Linked DNA regions of Macaca mulatta. The protein of the gene in region 3 interacts with the protein of the main gene of each other region in a biochemical or structural test. Links are inferred from orthologs where the notes say so. Each region holds a gene or a part of one and is shown on either strand. Other genes may lie near its edges. The genes, in order: SMURF2, ACVRL1 and SMAD1.

What was found.
Region 1: the proteins of SMAD1 (region 3) and SMURF2 form a complex in vitro, tested with the Homo sapiens proteins (2 studies listed by BioGRID and IntAct, with this or other methods). The link is inferred for Macaca mulatta from reciprocal best matches to the Homo sapiens genes SMAD1 and SMURF2.
Region 2: of the proteins of SMAD1 (region 3) and ACVRL1, one has a biochemical effect on the other in vitro, tested with the Homo sapiens proteins (2 studies listed by BioGRID). The link is inferred for Macaca mulatta from reciprocal best matches to the Homo sapiens genes SMAD1 and ACVRL1.

Annotation. Positions count from the first base shown.
Region 1 is NC_133421.1:74,558,375-74,563,969, forward strand, and holds the start of SMURF2 (E3 ubiquitin-protein ligase SMURF2), read right to left. Parts: upstream 3,763-5,595; 5' UTR 3,300-3,762; coding exon 3,248-3,299; intron 1-3,247. UniProt on the Homo sapiens protein: E3 ubiquitin-protein ligase which accepts ubiquitin from an E2 ubiquitin-conjugating enzyme in the form of a thioester and then directly transfers the ubiquitin to targeted substrates.
Region 2 is NC_133416.1:59,087,959-59,093,553, reverse strand, and holds the start of ACVRL1 (activin receptor type-1-like), read right to left. Parts: upstream 3,694-5,595; 5' UTR 3,593-3,693; coding exon 3,452-3,592; intron 3,270-3,451; coding exon 3,071-3,269; intron 1-3,070. UniProt on the Homo sapiens protein: Type I receptor for TGF-beta family ligands BMP9/GDF2 and BMP10 and important regulator of normal blood vessel development. On ligand binding, forms a receptor complex consisting of two type II and two type I transmembrane serine/threonine kinases.
Region 3 is NC_133410.1:154,124,975-154,129,615, forward strand, and holds part of SMAD1 (mothers against decapentaplegic homolog 1), read left to right. Parts: intron 1-1,238; coding exon 1,239-1,495; intron 1,496-4,641. UniProt on the Homo sapiens protein: Transcriptional modulator that plays a role in various cellular processes, including embryonic development, cell differentiation, and tissue homeostasis.

The DNA.
Region 1 (5,595 bases), on a different chromosome or scaffold from region 3:
GAACAGAAGTAGCGGCCGGGCGCGGTGGCTCACGCCTGTAATCCCAGCACTTTGGGAGGCCGAGACGGGCGGATGACGAGGTCAGGAGATCGAGACCATCCTGGCTAACACGGTGAAACCCCGTCTCTACTAAAAAATACAAAAAACTAGCCGGGCGAGGTGGCGGGCGCCTATAGTCCCAGCTACTCGGGAGGCTGAGGCAGGAGAATGGCGTGAACCCGGGGGGCGGAGCTTGCAGTGAGCTGAGATCCGGCCACTGCACTCCAGCCTGGGTGACAGAGCGAGACTCCGTCTCAAAAAAAAAAAAAAAAAAAAGAACAGAAGTAGCTTGATGGATGAAATCGGATTCTAACCCCCAGTTGCCTGAGGAATCTAAAATTTGGGATCAAATTATTAAATTAGCCCCACCTTCTTAGCATTGACAAATACCAAACAGTTCACTGATGGTGGTTTTAAGAATAATATGTGGAAAGGTCTAATATCAATTGTGGGCAGAGATCTCATGGTTCAAATATTTCCTCTTGTTCAGAAAGAGAGTGTGTGTATGAGTGAGTGTGTGAGTGTGTGTATGTGTGAGTGTATGTGAGTGTGTGCGCGCGTCACCATGTAAGAAATGTTTATACCTTTCAGTAAAGGGGCAATTCCACAATAAGGTTATTATCAACTAACTAAAGTTTATACAACATCTTGAAATCAAAGGTACTCTATAAATTTAAAATACTAATATGGTATTAACTTAAAGCAAAGAATAATAATTTTAAAACACCTTATAGCCCAAGGGTATTGTAAACCAAATATAAATTCACTGTGAGATCTGTCTTTTTTTAAGTGATTTTTTTTCCTCTATTAGGGAACCCAGATCTAAATGAACTGTTAAACACTTAGTCTAAAGGTACGCCAAACATTTCTTAAGGTCTTAACAAAGAATCAACTTTTTTTTTAAACAAAATGAGGCCTAGGTTAAATATTTTATTTGGCTTCTCAAGATGGACTGAGAAGTTGGGCACCAGCTCCAGACCAATTCCTGGACGCACATCAAACACAGCCCCGTCATTTATCCAGTCAGTCAAAACAATCTTTTCCATCTAACCCTTTAATGTTTATGTCCTAAAAAGCTGCTAATTGAATCCAGCTCTTGAGATCTATTTGCTAAAATCTATACCATCTAATTTGTAAATGATGAACAAAAATGGAAAAAAAAAATGTTAACTTTCCTGGCAAAACAGAAGAGACTCCACTGTAACCAAAGAAGGAAGGACAATGTTTTTAATATTTGTCAAATTTTGAGAGAAAACGATTCAGAGACAAATAGTTGTAAGAAACTCAGAGTACCTCAAACTGTTTTTACTATTAAGAGGACACAGGGTATTTAAAACTCCTCAGAAAAACCTGAAACAAAATCACTATAAATGTAGTGCAATATTCCCTCTTCCCCTAAAATATAAGCATAATCTTTCCTCTTAACAAACTTTAATTATAAATTTTTATAACGTATCATAGGTAGTACGGAAACCACAGATAAACACTTTAAGATCTACTGAGTCATACTAAAAACCTCAACTAACTTTATTTGAAGAAAATCAAAATCCCTATTTTTTCCCTCATCTATATAGCCCAGAGGAAAGTAAATGGAAACAGCCAATTTCTGATGCTTTCTGCACACCTGGGATCACATGTTCTTTCCACGATCACTGACTCCAGATAGCAACAGCAACAGATAAACTCGAAAGCAACAAAGATCCCCTATAAAGGTTTCCATTGTCTCCTCCCAATATAAGGACACTGAATGGGGGACAGCGGGGGAGAAGTGGGAATACAAGTATCCTGCAATCCAGGTTTTTCATTAAGAACCACTCAGTTAATGATTCCTTGCAATTTTCCCTAGGGAAAGGAAAACTGTCATGAAGGTAATATATTATTTAAATTGCAGCCAACATACATTCAAGCTAAATTCTCAAATACCAAATTCACTGCAAGGTTTCACCCAGCAAGTTCAGCCAGTGGACTGAGATGTGTCACATAAGCATTCAACTACAAAATTAGTCCAAATAAATCTCAAAGTCTAGTGTGGGCAAACATAATTACAGTTGATTCGTACACGTGCACGCACACACAAATCCTCTACGGAAAATTATCTTTCTCACCACTCACCCGAATATAAACGTGGACAATTTATCAGGGGTAAATGGTGAAGGTAGGATAACGACGTGATTTCAATTCCTTTTCAAACCAAATACAAGTGCTCCTAAAACGGGGGTGGCATGTCCATGTAAGAATACCAAAAATGGCACTGTAAGTAAAACGTACCTGTAATATTAAAGATTTCATGCACCTGGAATCATAAACACTTTGTAAGTGTAGTCTTCTATCTGACAACCCCTCCGGACATACTTTTCCATTTAGAAAAAGGAAGGGGGAGGGTGGGGAGAGTAACAGAAAGTTTGCTCTAAAGTTTGTATGAGGACATACTTAGAAATGTACCCCCTCCCTCCCCCCAAAAAAGTGTGTTTTTAAAGCAGGTCGGGAGTTAGAAGTGAGACACGAGTTCTGCGGCCTACAAGGAACAACCCCAAACATGCCACCCTACAATCAGACACTTCCAAAACACAGTGTACAATGAGCCCGAGCCGTCGGATCAGACAGGCACACCGGAAAAGTCAACCTGTCTCCTCTCCTCAGAGAGACGTGAGTTCAAGGTGTGTGGCCCCGGCAGCGGTGGCCGGCGGCGGGGAGTAAAGGTTTTTCATGCGGGCATAAGTGGGTGTGCAAGGTAACAACCCGGGAACACACACGCACACCCTCCCGTTAAGCGCTCCATCTTTAAGGAGTGTTTACTGCGCGCAGTCAGCAACCGGATTCAATAATCCTCGCCACGGGAGCTCTTCATCCCCTTCACGATCCCACCTGGGCGGTAGCCCAGGGGCTGCTCCCCGAGACCCGGGAGGCAGCGTCGGGCTCCTTGACCAAGACTTTCCGACCTGAAATCCGCCTGCGATGCGAACCGGTGTATCCTCCCCTCCACAAAAGACCACCCCCACCCCCCGCCCCGAGTCATCCTCGGCTTTTTAAAGAATGCCCAAGCCGTAGCAAGTGGTTTTCCAATTACTCTCCCTGAACTAGGCCTTCCCACTCCTCCGACCCCCAACTCACCATTGATCGCGACCCTGGCCCTTCCTAAGGCCACAGGCACCCCCCGCCAGCTCGCCCACCCCGCGGCTGCCCAGCCCGGCCCGCCGCCCCCCCTCACCTGTCAGGCGCAGCTTGACGGGCCCGTTCCTCCGGCCTCCGGGGTTAGACATGTCCCCGGCGGCGGGGGCGGCGGGCGGGACGGGGACGGGGGCGACGGCGAGGCGCGGCGGAGTCACCACAGCGGCCGGGGCTGGGGCCCGAGCAGCCGGCGCCGCGGCCGCCACGGCCGGAGGGTCCCGGATGTGCCGAGCGTCGTCGCCATGAGCCGCGGAGGGAGCGGGACGCCGAGCTCCCCCCTCCTCCCACTTCTCCTTCCTCGGCCCGGGCCGCACAACAAAGCGGCAGCCGCGGCCGCCCGCGCCGCCTCCGCCCGCGCCCCCGCCGCCTCCTCGCGGGCGCAGCGGCCTTTCCTTCCTCTCGTCTCGGCGAGGCCCAGTAGCCGACGGGGCTGGTCGGCTGAGGCGGGCGGTGCTCGGCGACGCCGGACCAGGACTCTGGGCTCGGCCGCTTCCTCCTCCACCCGCCCTCTTGTCTGAGGGACCCGGGACCTCGGGCCGCCGCCGCCACTCGTCTGCTCCAGGGGGCGGGGAGGAGACGGGAGGCGGGGCCGGCGGGCGGGGCGGGGCCAGCGGGGCGGGGCGGGGCCAGGGCGGGGTCGTCGGGCGCGCGCAGGGTGCCCCGGGCGGGCACCGGCTGTCAGAAAGGGTGTAAGTTGCCGCGGAGGGTCCCACGAGGAACGCGGGGAGGGAGCAGGCAGGGAGCAAAGTGGCGGCGGGCGCGGCAGCTCTGTGACACCTGGAGGGATTTAGTGTCCGGTCCACTTAAGGGAGAGCTTTTGTCCCAACAGCGCCGACTGCATTTATTAGACGCCCACTGCGTGCAGGGCGCTCCTAGAGACTGGGGCGAGGAAGGTTAGAACCGAGTCCGCTGCCTCCCGGGAACTTAGCGTCTTTCGGACGAGGGAAGAGACCGCATTCCCACGCCGATGGTTCCAGCAAAACCCCAGGAGTGCTCTGCTCCTAGTCTTGTAGTTGACACCTCCATCCGGAACTCACCTGGTGGAGGAGATAGGGTTACCTGCCGACTCCCGCTCTTTTCAGGTGCAGCCAAGGATGGGGAGATGATACGTCTTAAAGGATTAACAAGATAAACCTTGGAGAGTAATGTGTGAAGAGTTGTTAATACACTACTGTATTTCGTTATCTCAGGAGGAGAAATTTTTAAAAAAAAATGTGCGCCTTATCCTTTGACCTTGTAACTGTACTGCTAGAAATATTTTTTCTTTTTTTGGACAGGGTCTCCCTCTGTCATCCAGGCTGGACTACAGTGGTGCGATCACGGCTCCCCGCAGTCTCAACTTCCCGGGTTCAGGTGATCCTCCCACCTGAGCCTCTGGACTAGCTGGGACCAAAAGTGTGCACCGCTACGCCCCACTAATTTTTGTATTTTTAGTAGAGACATGTTTAGAAGAGACATTTAGGTTTTCCCATGTTGCCCAGGCTGGTCACGAACTCCTGACGTCAAGCGATCCGCCCGCCTCGGCCTCCCAAAGTGCTGGGATTACAGACCTGAGCCACCTCACTGGCCCTATTCTTGACAAATAATCGTACAGAAGATGTTCTTTGTTATATTCCATTAATACCAAAAGGGGAATGAGGGAACAGCATAATGGTCCAGGAACCGCATGGTTTTTTATGCAGCCATATAACTATTTTTATGAAGATCATATACTATGGAAGAATGTATATGTAATGCAAAGTTTAAAAGCAGAATAGAAGTTGTATGCATATACATGTGAAAATATCTAGCACAATGTAAACTACTGACAACAGCGTGGGGGATTTTTTATGTGATTCCTTAGTTTTGCTTTAGGCTATTATAACATTAATGCAATTTTAAATGTTTTGGATTAATATATTTTAATCCTTATTCCATGCCGGTTATTTCTTTTAATGCATCAGTGGAGTCACTTCTCCAGATAGTTACCTCTAAGAGCATTTCATCAGTTTGGATACAGATATACAATTAAAAGTAATCCAAAAAAGTATATGAAGTTCTAGATATCACACTAAAAATACCACAGATAGACCGGTCACAGTGGCTCATGCCTGTAATTCCAACACTTTGGGAGGCCCAGGAGGGCGGATAATTTGAGGTCAGGAGTTCGAGACCAGCCTGGCCAACATGGTGAACTCCTGTCTGTACTAAAAAATATATATATAAAAATTAGCCAGGCGTGGTGGTGCATGCCTGTGGTCTCAGCAATTAGGAAGGCTGAGGCACAAGAATCGCTTGAACATGGGAGGTTGCAGTGAGCCGAGATCACACCACTGCACTTCAGCCTGGGTGACAGAGCGAGACTCCATATCAAAAATAAATACATAAATAAATAAAAATAAAAATACC
Region 2 (5,595 bases), on a different chromosome or scaffold from region 3:
CCAGTGAGGACTCTGGCCAGCACTGTGTGGCAGGGCCCGTGGTGGGATGGGATGGAGAGAGCACCCCAGAGGGGCTGAATCTGCCCACTGGGGTACTAGCAGGAAGCCATCCTTGGCGCCCTTTGCTAGCCCAGAAAGCTGCAAAAAAGAGGGTTTGAGGTGGGAAGAAAAAAGTGGCTAACACTAAGGCTAAAATCCGGCGTTCCTCTAGGACCCTCTGTCCGTACCTCTAGTTCTCTGGCCGTGCCCCAGTCCACCCTCCTTCTACTTTATCATGCATCGGAATCACCTGAAGTGCTCAATTAGTAAAGCATATTCACTGGTTTCACCCTCACTACAGACTCTGATTCAGTCCTGGAATCAGCAAGAAACATGCATTTTTTAAAAGTTTCCCAGGGAGTTCTGATCAGTTTGTGTGGGCACCACTCTTTGAGAAATGGGTCCTGCACAATGCTAAGTCTGGTTCCTCTGCTTTCATTTTGCTGTACAGGGCCCTGCTGGGTGAGTGGGAGTGGGACGCAGAGGGAGGGGACACTCACTCCCACCCAGGACCCTCCCCATCTACTAGAGAAGGGACAGCCAAGGGTAAACACCAAAGCCGGGACTTGGTGACACTGTGGAGCGAGGCCTGTCTGCATCTGCAGAACCCATCTTTGGTCTAATCCTGGGAATGTGATGGAGTAAAATTGGGACTGTCCAATTTTTAACTGGACCCAGTGTGAGGTCAAGAACAGAAGGGTGCTGAGTCCTGACCAGTTCAAACTCAGAGCTGACTCTTTACAATTTGCCCTAAAATCTGACTGTAGCACAAACAGACTCCTGGGGCCTGGCAGGATCCTTTCACTTCTAAGCAAAACTTTGTGAAAGATCTCCTGCTGACAGAAGCATCACTATTGTTGGCCAGAAATTACAAACGTTAAACTAAATTCAAACGTTAGCTAAACACTATGAAGTAATAATAACAGTTAACCTTCTCTGAGTACTAATTATGTGCTAAGTACTGAACTTGAATGGTTTATCTGATTTAATCATCACAACAGTCCAATGGGGGAAAGTGAGGTTCAGAGATGTTAGGTTTCCTGTCCATAGTCACTGAGTGTGTCTTAATAAACTTAAATTGCTGATAATAAATCCTTCCTTGGTCGTTGTTATTCCTCCAATTGTTTGGGGTTAGATGAGTTCCTCAAAGGAAGAAAAAGACATGGGTCTCGGTGGACATGAACAAATTGCCCACTGCTGTTGTTATTAACGGGTGCCCTACTCAGATTTGTTTAAATGCAGACAGCGTTTTTGTTTGTTTTTAATTTTTTTTGAGACAGGGTCTTGCTCAGTTGCCCAGGCTGAAGTGCGGTGGTGCAATCATAGCTCACTGTAACCTTGAACTCCTGAGCTCAAGTGATCCTCCCACCTCAGCCTCCCAAGTGGCTGGGACTACAGGGGGGTGCAGCACCATGCCCAGTTTTATTTTTAGTAGAGATAGGGTCTCACTATGTTGCCCCAGGCAACAGTGTTGCTGCCCAGAAATCATCAGTTTGCCATAGGCGTAGTCAAAGTCTGAGCCTTCCGTGGGGAGAGCCAGAGTAGTGGTATGCCCCAAAGGTGCTTATCAATCTTTTTCTCCCCAGCACACCTGAAGGATTGATAAAACCCACTCCCATCAACGGCAGTGGCTCAGCACAGCCGTGATTGTCACAGGGCTGGAGAAGCACCATCTCAAGCACAACCTTCTGGACTCACTCTGCACTTCAGTAGGCCTTACCCCAACAGCAGAGGACCAGACCCAGCTGTTCATATTGGGTTGCCCCTACGATTCATCCACGTGATTTATTAGCCCCTCACAGCGGGGTGATGCAGCGGAACAAGCCTGGATTTTCAGGTCTCAGGCAGACCATGGAGGCAGCACAGAGTAGCACAGAGGTTAGGGTGTGGGCTCAGGAGCATGGAGACCTGGGTTCAAATCCTGCCTTTGCCTCTTAGAGGCATGAGATTTGAAACAAGTTACTTAAACTTTCTGAGGCTTAGGCTTCCCATCATATGTAAAGTGGGAATAATAGTGTTATCTCATAGGTAAAATGTAGCAAAATTATTTAGCAGAGTATAAGTAGTATACAGTAAGCACTTAAATGTTATCAAGACCCCAACCATGCCATTTACCCCACCATCCAAGGAGTTTTGGACAAGTTATTCATGTCTGTTTCCTTTTCTGTAGGATGGACATAGTAACCCCTCTTCCACTAGGTTGTGACCAGGATTACATGAGAAAAAAATGTATCTAAGTGTCTACATAGTTAGTACTCAATAAATGGTAGCTATTTCTAACAAACCAATGAAATGGGAGGACAGGTGAGAGAACAGGTATGAGGACCGACCCTGACTCAGCCAGAAGCTGGTAGAGAGGGTGAGAGCAACTGTCCATTATACCCCTGTCCTTGGAGAAGGAAAGAGGAGCTGGGGCAGCCAGCTCAGCCGTGGGTTTCACAGCACTGGCCTCCAGGGCAGATGGAAAATCTGGGGTCCCAGCCTGGAGGGAGACTGGGATCCCCTTTGGCCTGGGTCCTGAAGGAAGGTCGTGGAACGGAGATGACTGACCATGCGAGGCTGGGGGTGAGGCTCCTTGGTTGGAATGATAGTGTCAGATTCCTCAAGCAACAACTGGAAGGACTGGTCTGGGAAAGGTGAGCTCTGCGGGGAGTCTCAACAGCTGTGGAAGTGGACATTCACTCCAGGTCCACACAGCGGCCTGGAGGACGTGTGATCCCTTCTATGTGAGTAGAGCAAGACAAGAATCCCACTGCCCATTTTATGAAGAGGGTAGAACAGAGAAGTGAAGTCACTGACTTAGAGCCAAGTTTCTGATTTCCAGTCGGGTCTCGTCCAGTCCCCTCCTCTCAGGTAGGGTCATGGGTAAGCTGTGCGGGGTCAGCCAGGGGCAGCTTGCGTTTCTAATGAGCTGGGATTGAGCCTACCACGACCACTCTGCGGTGACTCTGGGGTCCGCCCGAAGGAACGGCCCACTGATGCGGGGGTCAGGCCGCCCGCCACCCGGTCCCGTCCGCGGACGTCGACTCACCTCTGGGCCCGCTCTGCGGGTGGCGGGGCGCGAGCCTTCGGTGGGCCGGGGCCACCTCCCCTCCACCGCGCGGCCGCGGTTGCACCGCGAGCGCTGGACTGCGGGCTGGGGTCCGGGCGCGGCCTCGGACCGGGCTGGAGCCGGGGAGGGGCTCGCTCGGCGCGGTTGGCGCAGCGGCCTCCCGGGACTGGGATGGGGGCTGGAGCAAAAATGTTTCTTATTCCAGCGTCTTCCTGCCTGGCCCAGCTCCACCACTCCCTCCTAATAAACCGTTTCCTTATTGCCCAGCTCGCCGACTGGCCGCCGCTCGCCCCTCGCTGGGGCTGCAGGACCGGGACCCTCCCCCGCGCCGCTCCCAGCCCCTCAGGGGGCCTCCCCTACCAGCAGCCCGCAGCTCCCGGATCGCTGGCCAGCACCCGGGCCGGACCTCCCACATCCGCCTCCCCGAGGGGGCGGGCCTTTGACTCGGGCTGTGGGGGTCCTGTGGGGGTCCCATAGGGGTCCCGTGGGGTCTGGACCCATAGCCGTGGGAGACAGAGGCGAAACTGTAGGCAATGTCTGGCGGCCGGAGCAGTGGGTGGGGGTAGAGGGGGATGGCTGGCAGCATCGGAGGGGCCGCCTGGGATCTGGGCGCTGGGAAGGGGCCACCAAGGAAGGGACAGGCGGGGGTGAGACGGGGAGGGACACTACCTATCCTTACCCCACCCTCAGCCCGGGGTCCTCGGTCTAGGAGGCTTGGAGCAGTGAGGGCAGAGTTTGGGGCTAGCAAAAGTCCAGATGCGTTTTGGCTCCGCCCTCGGGAACTCCCGACTTGGCCCAAATCCTTCAGTCCCCTCCCTCGGGCCCCTTCATCCCTCATTTGTCCCATCCTCTCTTCAGCAGCCTCTCCCCATCCGCACTCAGCACAGGGGTATACAGGCCCAGAGGGACAGCCTTGGGTTAGCCCTGAGGATGGTTTGAGCCCTTCCTGGCCGCTGTGCAGCTGGGTGACAAAGACACCCCCGCCCCTCCAGGGACGGTCAGCATGGAGGGACACGATGGGAGCTGCCTTGGACCTTCCCCTTCCAGGCAGGGCCCCCACCCCAGCAAATGGAACTTTAAATAGAGGTGGGGAAGGGAGCCTCCCTGGAACACTGCTGACACAAGGCAGCTGGGGAGGGAAGCAGAATGGCTTCACATAGGCAGCGGAGGGGCACACAGACTCTTCCTGGTGCGCCTGCACAGGCTGGGAGCACTGACCTCACTGCCCTGCTTTGCTCCAACCACCTGACTACCTGCAGGACTCTGGTCTTAGTCCTAGCCTCCTGGTTATCCACAGAGACTCTGAAGTCAAACTACCTACTAGGAAGGCAGGCTGGTTGTGTTACCGTAGGCTAGTGACACCTCTCCATGCTTCAGTCCCCCATCTGCTAAATAGGCATAGTAAACGGTGCCAGCCTCATAGGGTGGTTGTGAGAATAGAAGGAAATGATGCTTATCTCAGCTCATAGCAAAGATGCTGGCTGGCTGAGCCTGACTCAGAGGAGGCCCTCAATGAAGGCGTTTGTTAATTAAATGAATAAATGAAAAGGCTGGGGAGGGGGTGGCCTCAGAGACACTTGGAAAGACGTGGGTATTAGAAGCAGGAGTAGACCTCTAAGGTGTCTTACTCTAATATGGGGATTCTACAAGATGAGCCAGGGACCCCTCCCCCCGCCCCGCCCCGCCTTTTGACAGGAATAGAGGCTGGGGGAGATAATGGCTAAAAGCTCAGACAGGCATCAATTATTGACTGACCTCACTTCCTCTGCTGAAACCCTCCCCATCCCCCACCCTGCAGCTGCTTCACAAGTTGTGAGCGTCGTGAATTCCCAGAACCCTGACACACCCAAATTTCAGTGTCAGGACAGAACTGTGTCCTGCAGCCAATAGGAAGTACTATGGGATTACGATATCTGCTCTTTCAGATTATAGCGGCCACTTGGGCTCTCTATGAGCTGGAGAACTGGGAGCCTGGCTGCAGGTCTGTCTTTCACACTGTCTCTCCCTGCTCTGCTATGGCTTCTGGTCAACCTTTTCCTCCCCCAACCCCCAGATCTCTGTCTTGAGAAGCGAGAGTGGGGGCTTCCCAAGGGAAGCCTTCGGTCTGAGAGGCACACTGAGCACAGAGACTTCAAGATGGACGAGAGCTGAGAGTCACTTCTGACAGTCAGCGAGGGATGGAAGACTATCTGCAGAGTTTGTGAAACGGATAAAAATAGAGTACATTTTGGGAGTTGGAAGAGAAGACCCAGGGGGGCTGGGGTCTGTTCATCAGTGCTGGAGTCTTCCCCCTGTCCCCGGAGCACTGAGCCCTCTGGCCCCTGACTAGTGCTCTTTGGGGCTCTTGTGAACCCCATGCCTTCCAAAGCACACAGAGAACCTGGGGGAGGTGTCAGAGTTGGAGATCCAGAGTTGGAGAAAGCCCTAGAGAGTCATCCCAATGAGAAAAGGGAAAAGGAATTACAGACTGTGTCCAAGTCTGCAAGAATTAATTACTCAGAGGG
Region 3 (4,641 bases):
TCTGGGTCTCAAAGGAAGAAGTTCGGAGCAGGTGATAGTTTAGTGAGATCTAATTTTACATACACCGTATGACTTTTCTAGTTTCATTTTCATGGTTTTTTTTACTGGATCTCATATCTTACAGCTCTTGGCAATACTTCTTCCACCTGTGACTTTACAGTTCCTCTCTTCTCTTTCTCCTCTCTTCCCTTTCTAAAATTTTCCAAACATCTTAGCTGTACAATAAATGCAAAAGTGCTTTATAGTAAATACATAGCATCCAGGTTTTATTATGTTGTATTTTTAGAGTGCAAATATACTTTCCATGTCTGGCCAAGTAGGACATTAATTACTTACCAAAATGAAATCGCTTCATTTTGTTGTTGTTGTTGTTGTTATTTGAGACAGGGTCTCACTCTGTCACCCAATCTGGAGTGCAGTGGCTTGATCACAGCTCACTGCAGCCTTGACCTCCTTGCCTCATGCAATCCTGCCACCTCAGCCTCTGTGTAATTGGGACTACAGGTGTGCACCACTGTGCCTAGCTGATGTTTTTTCTTTTTTTTCTTTCTTTTTTTTTTTTTGGTGGAGATGGGGTTTCGCCATGCTGCCCAGGCTAGTCTTGAACTCCTGAACTCAAGCAATCTGTCCACCTTGGCTTCCCAAAGTGCCGAGATTACAGGTCTGAACCACTGTGCCTGGCCTATTAGTATTTTTTTAAACATTTTGTTATTTTTCTAGAAACCTCCTAGATACTGTGTTAACTAATACAGTTAACTAAGATTTTATCAATCATACATCAGCCATCCCCAATCTTTTGGCACCAGGGACCGATTTCATGGAAGACAATTTTTCCACAGGGGATGGGGAAGGGATAGTTTCAGGATGAAACTGTTCCACTCAGATCATCAGGCATTAGATTCTCATAAGGAGCACGCAACCTAGATCCCTCACATGCACAGTTCACAATAGGGTTCATGCTTCTATGAGCATCTAATGCTGCCACTGATCTGACAGGAGGAGGAGCTCGGACTGTAATGCTTGCTCACTCACCTCCTGCTGTGTAACAGGCCACGGACTGATACAGGTCCATGGCCTCGGGGGTTGGGGACCCCTGTTGTACAGGACTTAGAGAATAGCTATCTAACTAGCCGAAGTTTAAATCCATGTAAATTTAAGTTTCTGTGTTGAAGCTGCACAGGTGCCTTTGAGCTATAAAAATTAATAATAACTAAATTATATGCTTTGTCTTCCAATAGGAGTTCATCTTTATTATGTTGGAGGGGAGGTATATGCCGAATGCCTTAGTGACAGTAGCATCTTTGTGCAAAGTCGGAACTGCAACTACCATCATGGATTTCATCCTACTACTGTTTGCAAGATCCCTAGTGGGTGTAGTCTGAAAATTTTTAACAACCAAGAATTTGCTCAGTTATTGGCACAGTCTGTGAACCATGGATTTGAGACAGTCTATGAGCTTACAAAAATGTGTACTATACGTATGAGCTTTGTGAAGGTAAGTGAACTCTGACTCCTCCATTTAGGGTCTAACATACTTTTGCTGTGCTTTTTTTTTTTTTTGGCAATATGTGAATCTATATCTTCTTGATAATATGTTTATATTAGCTGACTTATTATCTAGGCATTTTTAAACTGTAACAAGAGTGTCAATTATTAGGAAAATATCATAGGAACATAGGAGTACTTGTATTAAATATCAATAGCTGTGGGTTTTAATAGCCTTTTCCTTATTCAGATAGCACCGCTTTAGCTATTGTATTACCAGTAGAATATGTTATGTTACATATTTAAAATATAATTTAAATACATGGTTGTTTTACAAGATCAGTTGAGTAAACATATCTTCCTTACTTTTCGTTCTTTGTTTTTAGTACTTTTATGATGGTAATGCTTGTTTTTGTTTCAAGAGTAAGGAAGTGATCTTTTTGTAAAAATTAAAGTTCATCACATTGGAAATTGTGTTTGGTCAGGTTTTTTTAGTGGTTTCAGTAAGCCTCATGATTTTCTTAACAATTCAAAAGTTAATAAGGCCCTTGCCCAAGATAAATAGATGCCTTAGCTCAAAGATTGCATTGTAAGGTTTGATGAGGGAGAAGGTTAAACACATTGCTCATAATAATTGATCTTTTTGCTGTCTCATCTTCTGCCTCTGAGAAATAAAAATTTTTAGGATGCCATTGAAATCTAAAAAACCTTAAATGTCTGATTAGATTTCATGAGTCAGTGACTTATTCTAGTAACTGACCTGTCTCTGAATTCTCAAAAATAAGTTTCATCCTCTTGTACTTTGAGAAACAGAACTAATTATATATTTGAGTGAGGCAATTACCTTTTATGTCTTCTGTTCAGAAGCTCACAAAACTTGTTGTTAAACCTGTTTTGTAATGTATTTATTACTGAGGATAATTTTGGAGCCTTACTTGTTAATCATCCCTTAGATCAAAGATACCTTTTCCTGAATATAATTACTTTTCCTACTTATTTAAAGCATCTTAGATTTTCAGTGTGTTCCCTTAGTGTTTGTTTTTGTTTGTTTGCTTGCTTGCTTCCTTTTTGCAGTGTACTTCAACAGTTATTTGTAGCTGAGTCTGGTACCTTGTTAGTATTAAGAAATTTTTTTTACACTTTGAAGAGGTTGACCTATATGCTATGTACATATGGGGCTACAAAGACCTATCTTATTCATTATTAACATGTGCTGTTTAATTTTTGACTTAGCATTTGGCTCAAATGGTTTTTAAAATTAGAACAGTGACCTGCCAGAAGTGTTTTCGTTTATTGTTTTTATTGGTATGGAGGAAAGAACAACTCTTGAGAGTCGAGGTGCAGTTTCCAGTTTTTTCCTGCCATTTTAACTGTGTGATTAAGGCAGATTTCTTCTCTGGTTCTCATCTTTATTATCTTTGAAATGGGGGTGGATGGAGTTGAGAACTGTGGTAATTATTATTAAGGTCCCTTAGTGAGTCTATTATTGAAGGACCACTCTAGGAGAATTTATGACTTTAATGTTCCAATTAGCTTCCTGCTCAAACTCATTTCTTATTGTTTATCCAATCAATGTTCATTATTTTACTTTTGTACAGTTTTAATAATTTACTTTTACACAAGTAAAAACTTTTACACTAATAAAAGTATTTATAATGCAAAGTTATGCATTCAAAATTTATTAGATTTTATTCGTTCAGCAGATATTTTAGCACTATTTCAGAGAAGTAATACAAAGATGAAAAAGCACCTAAAGTCTCTATTATCAAGATCCTTATGCTCTAGTATATCTTTAATTATAATCTGATAAGCACTAGAATGGAGAATTATACAAGATATAATGAACTTAGCCTGGAAGTTGGATTTAGAGAGCCGAAGGTAAATAATATTTAAAAATCCTGCTGAATGTTAAAGAGAAACTGTTTATCATATATTAGCAACAAAAAATGTGCACACTGTTTTTACAGAACTGTTCTTTATTATATGGACTGCACACTTTATCCTCTCCCACTCAACATTTTAAAGAAATTGTAACAGAACATTTTACTAACAGTAGCCAATCTTGAGCTGTTTTCAAAATGATTTTTGGATGTTAACATAAAACATATTTTATAAATTATTTGTACTTTAAACTCTATGTCTGAAAAGTCCAAGTCAGCTCAGCTGAACACATATTTATAGAGCTTCTGCCTTCTGTCGTTATGCTATATATCGGAGGTAAAGATAAATTCCTGCCTTCAAAGATGTTGATATCTGATGGAGGAAACCTGCACATAAGCCTGTAAATTAAATTTAGGAGTTTGTTTATATTTACAAACGCATGAGTGTACGTACATCTATGTAGATACATATATCTATATAGATGTAGTTTATACAAGTTTTGATGTTCGGATACATTTCCTTTTCTTTCTTTCTTTTTTTTTTTTTTTTTTAAGACAGAGTCTTGCTCTGTCGCCCAGTCTGGAGTGCAATGGTGTGATCTCGGCTCACTACAACCTCCGCCTCCCAGGTTCAAGCAATTCTCCTGCCTCAGGCTCCCGAGTAACTGGGATTACAGGCGTGTGCCACAGCACCCGGCTAATTTCTGTATTTTTAGTAGAGTCAGAGTTTCGCCATGTTGGCCAGGCTGGTCTCAAACTCCTGACCTCTAGTGATCCACCTGCCTGAGACAGAGTCTTGCTCTGTCACCCAGGCCGGAGTGCAGTGGTGTGATCTTGACTCGTGGTAACCTCCGCCTCCTGGATTCAAGTGATTCTCATGCCTAAGCTTCCCAAGTAGCGGGGATTACAGGGATACACCACCACACCTGGCTACTTTTTATATTTTTAGTAGAGATGGGGTTTCACCATGTTGGCCAGGCTGGTCTGGAGCTCCCGACCTCAGGTGATCTGCCCGTCTTGGACTCCCAAAGTGCTGGGATTACAGGTGTGAGCCACCGCACCTGGCCCCAGATCTATTTCTTAAAACTACTGGAGTAGATAGGTAGCAGAAATAAATAGAACCCAACCTTCTCTGATACTCCTCATGAAACAGTGACTAAAGGATTAATCATTGTCCATCCCCACCAGTGAGTTTTTGATCTTTGCAGTAGCAGTTACTTTTCTCTTTTTCATAGTGACTTTATTCTGTGGAACTCTACTGTCTTAATGCAGTAGT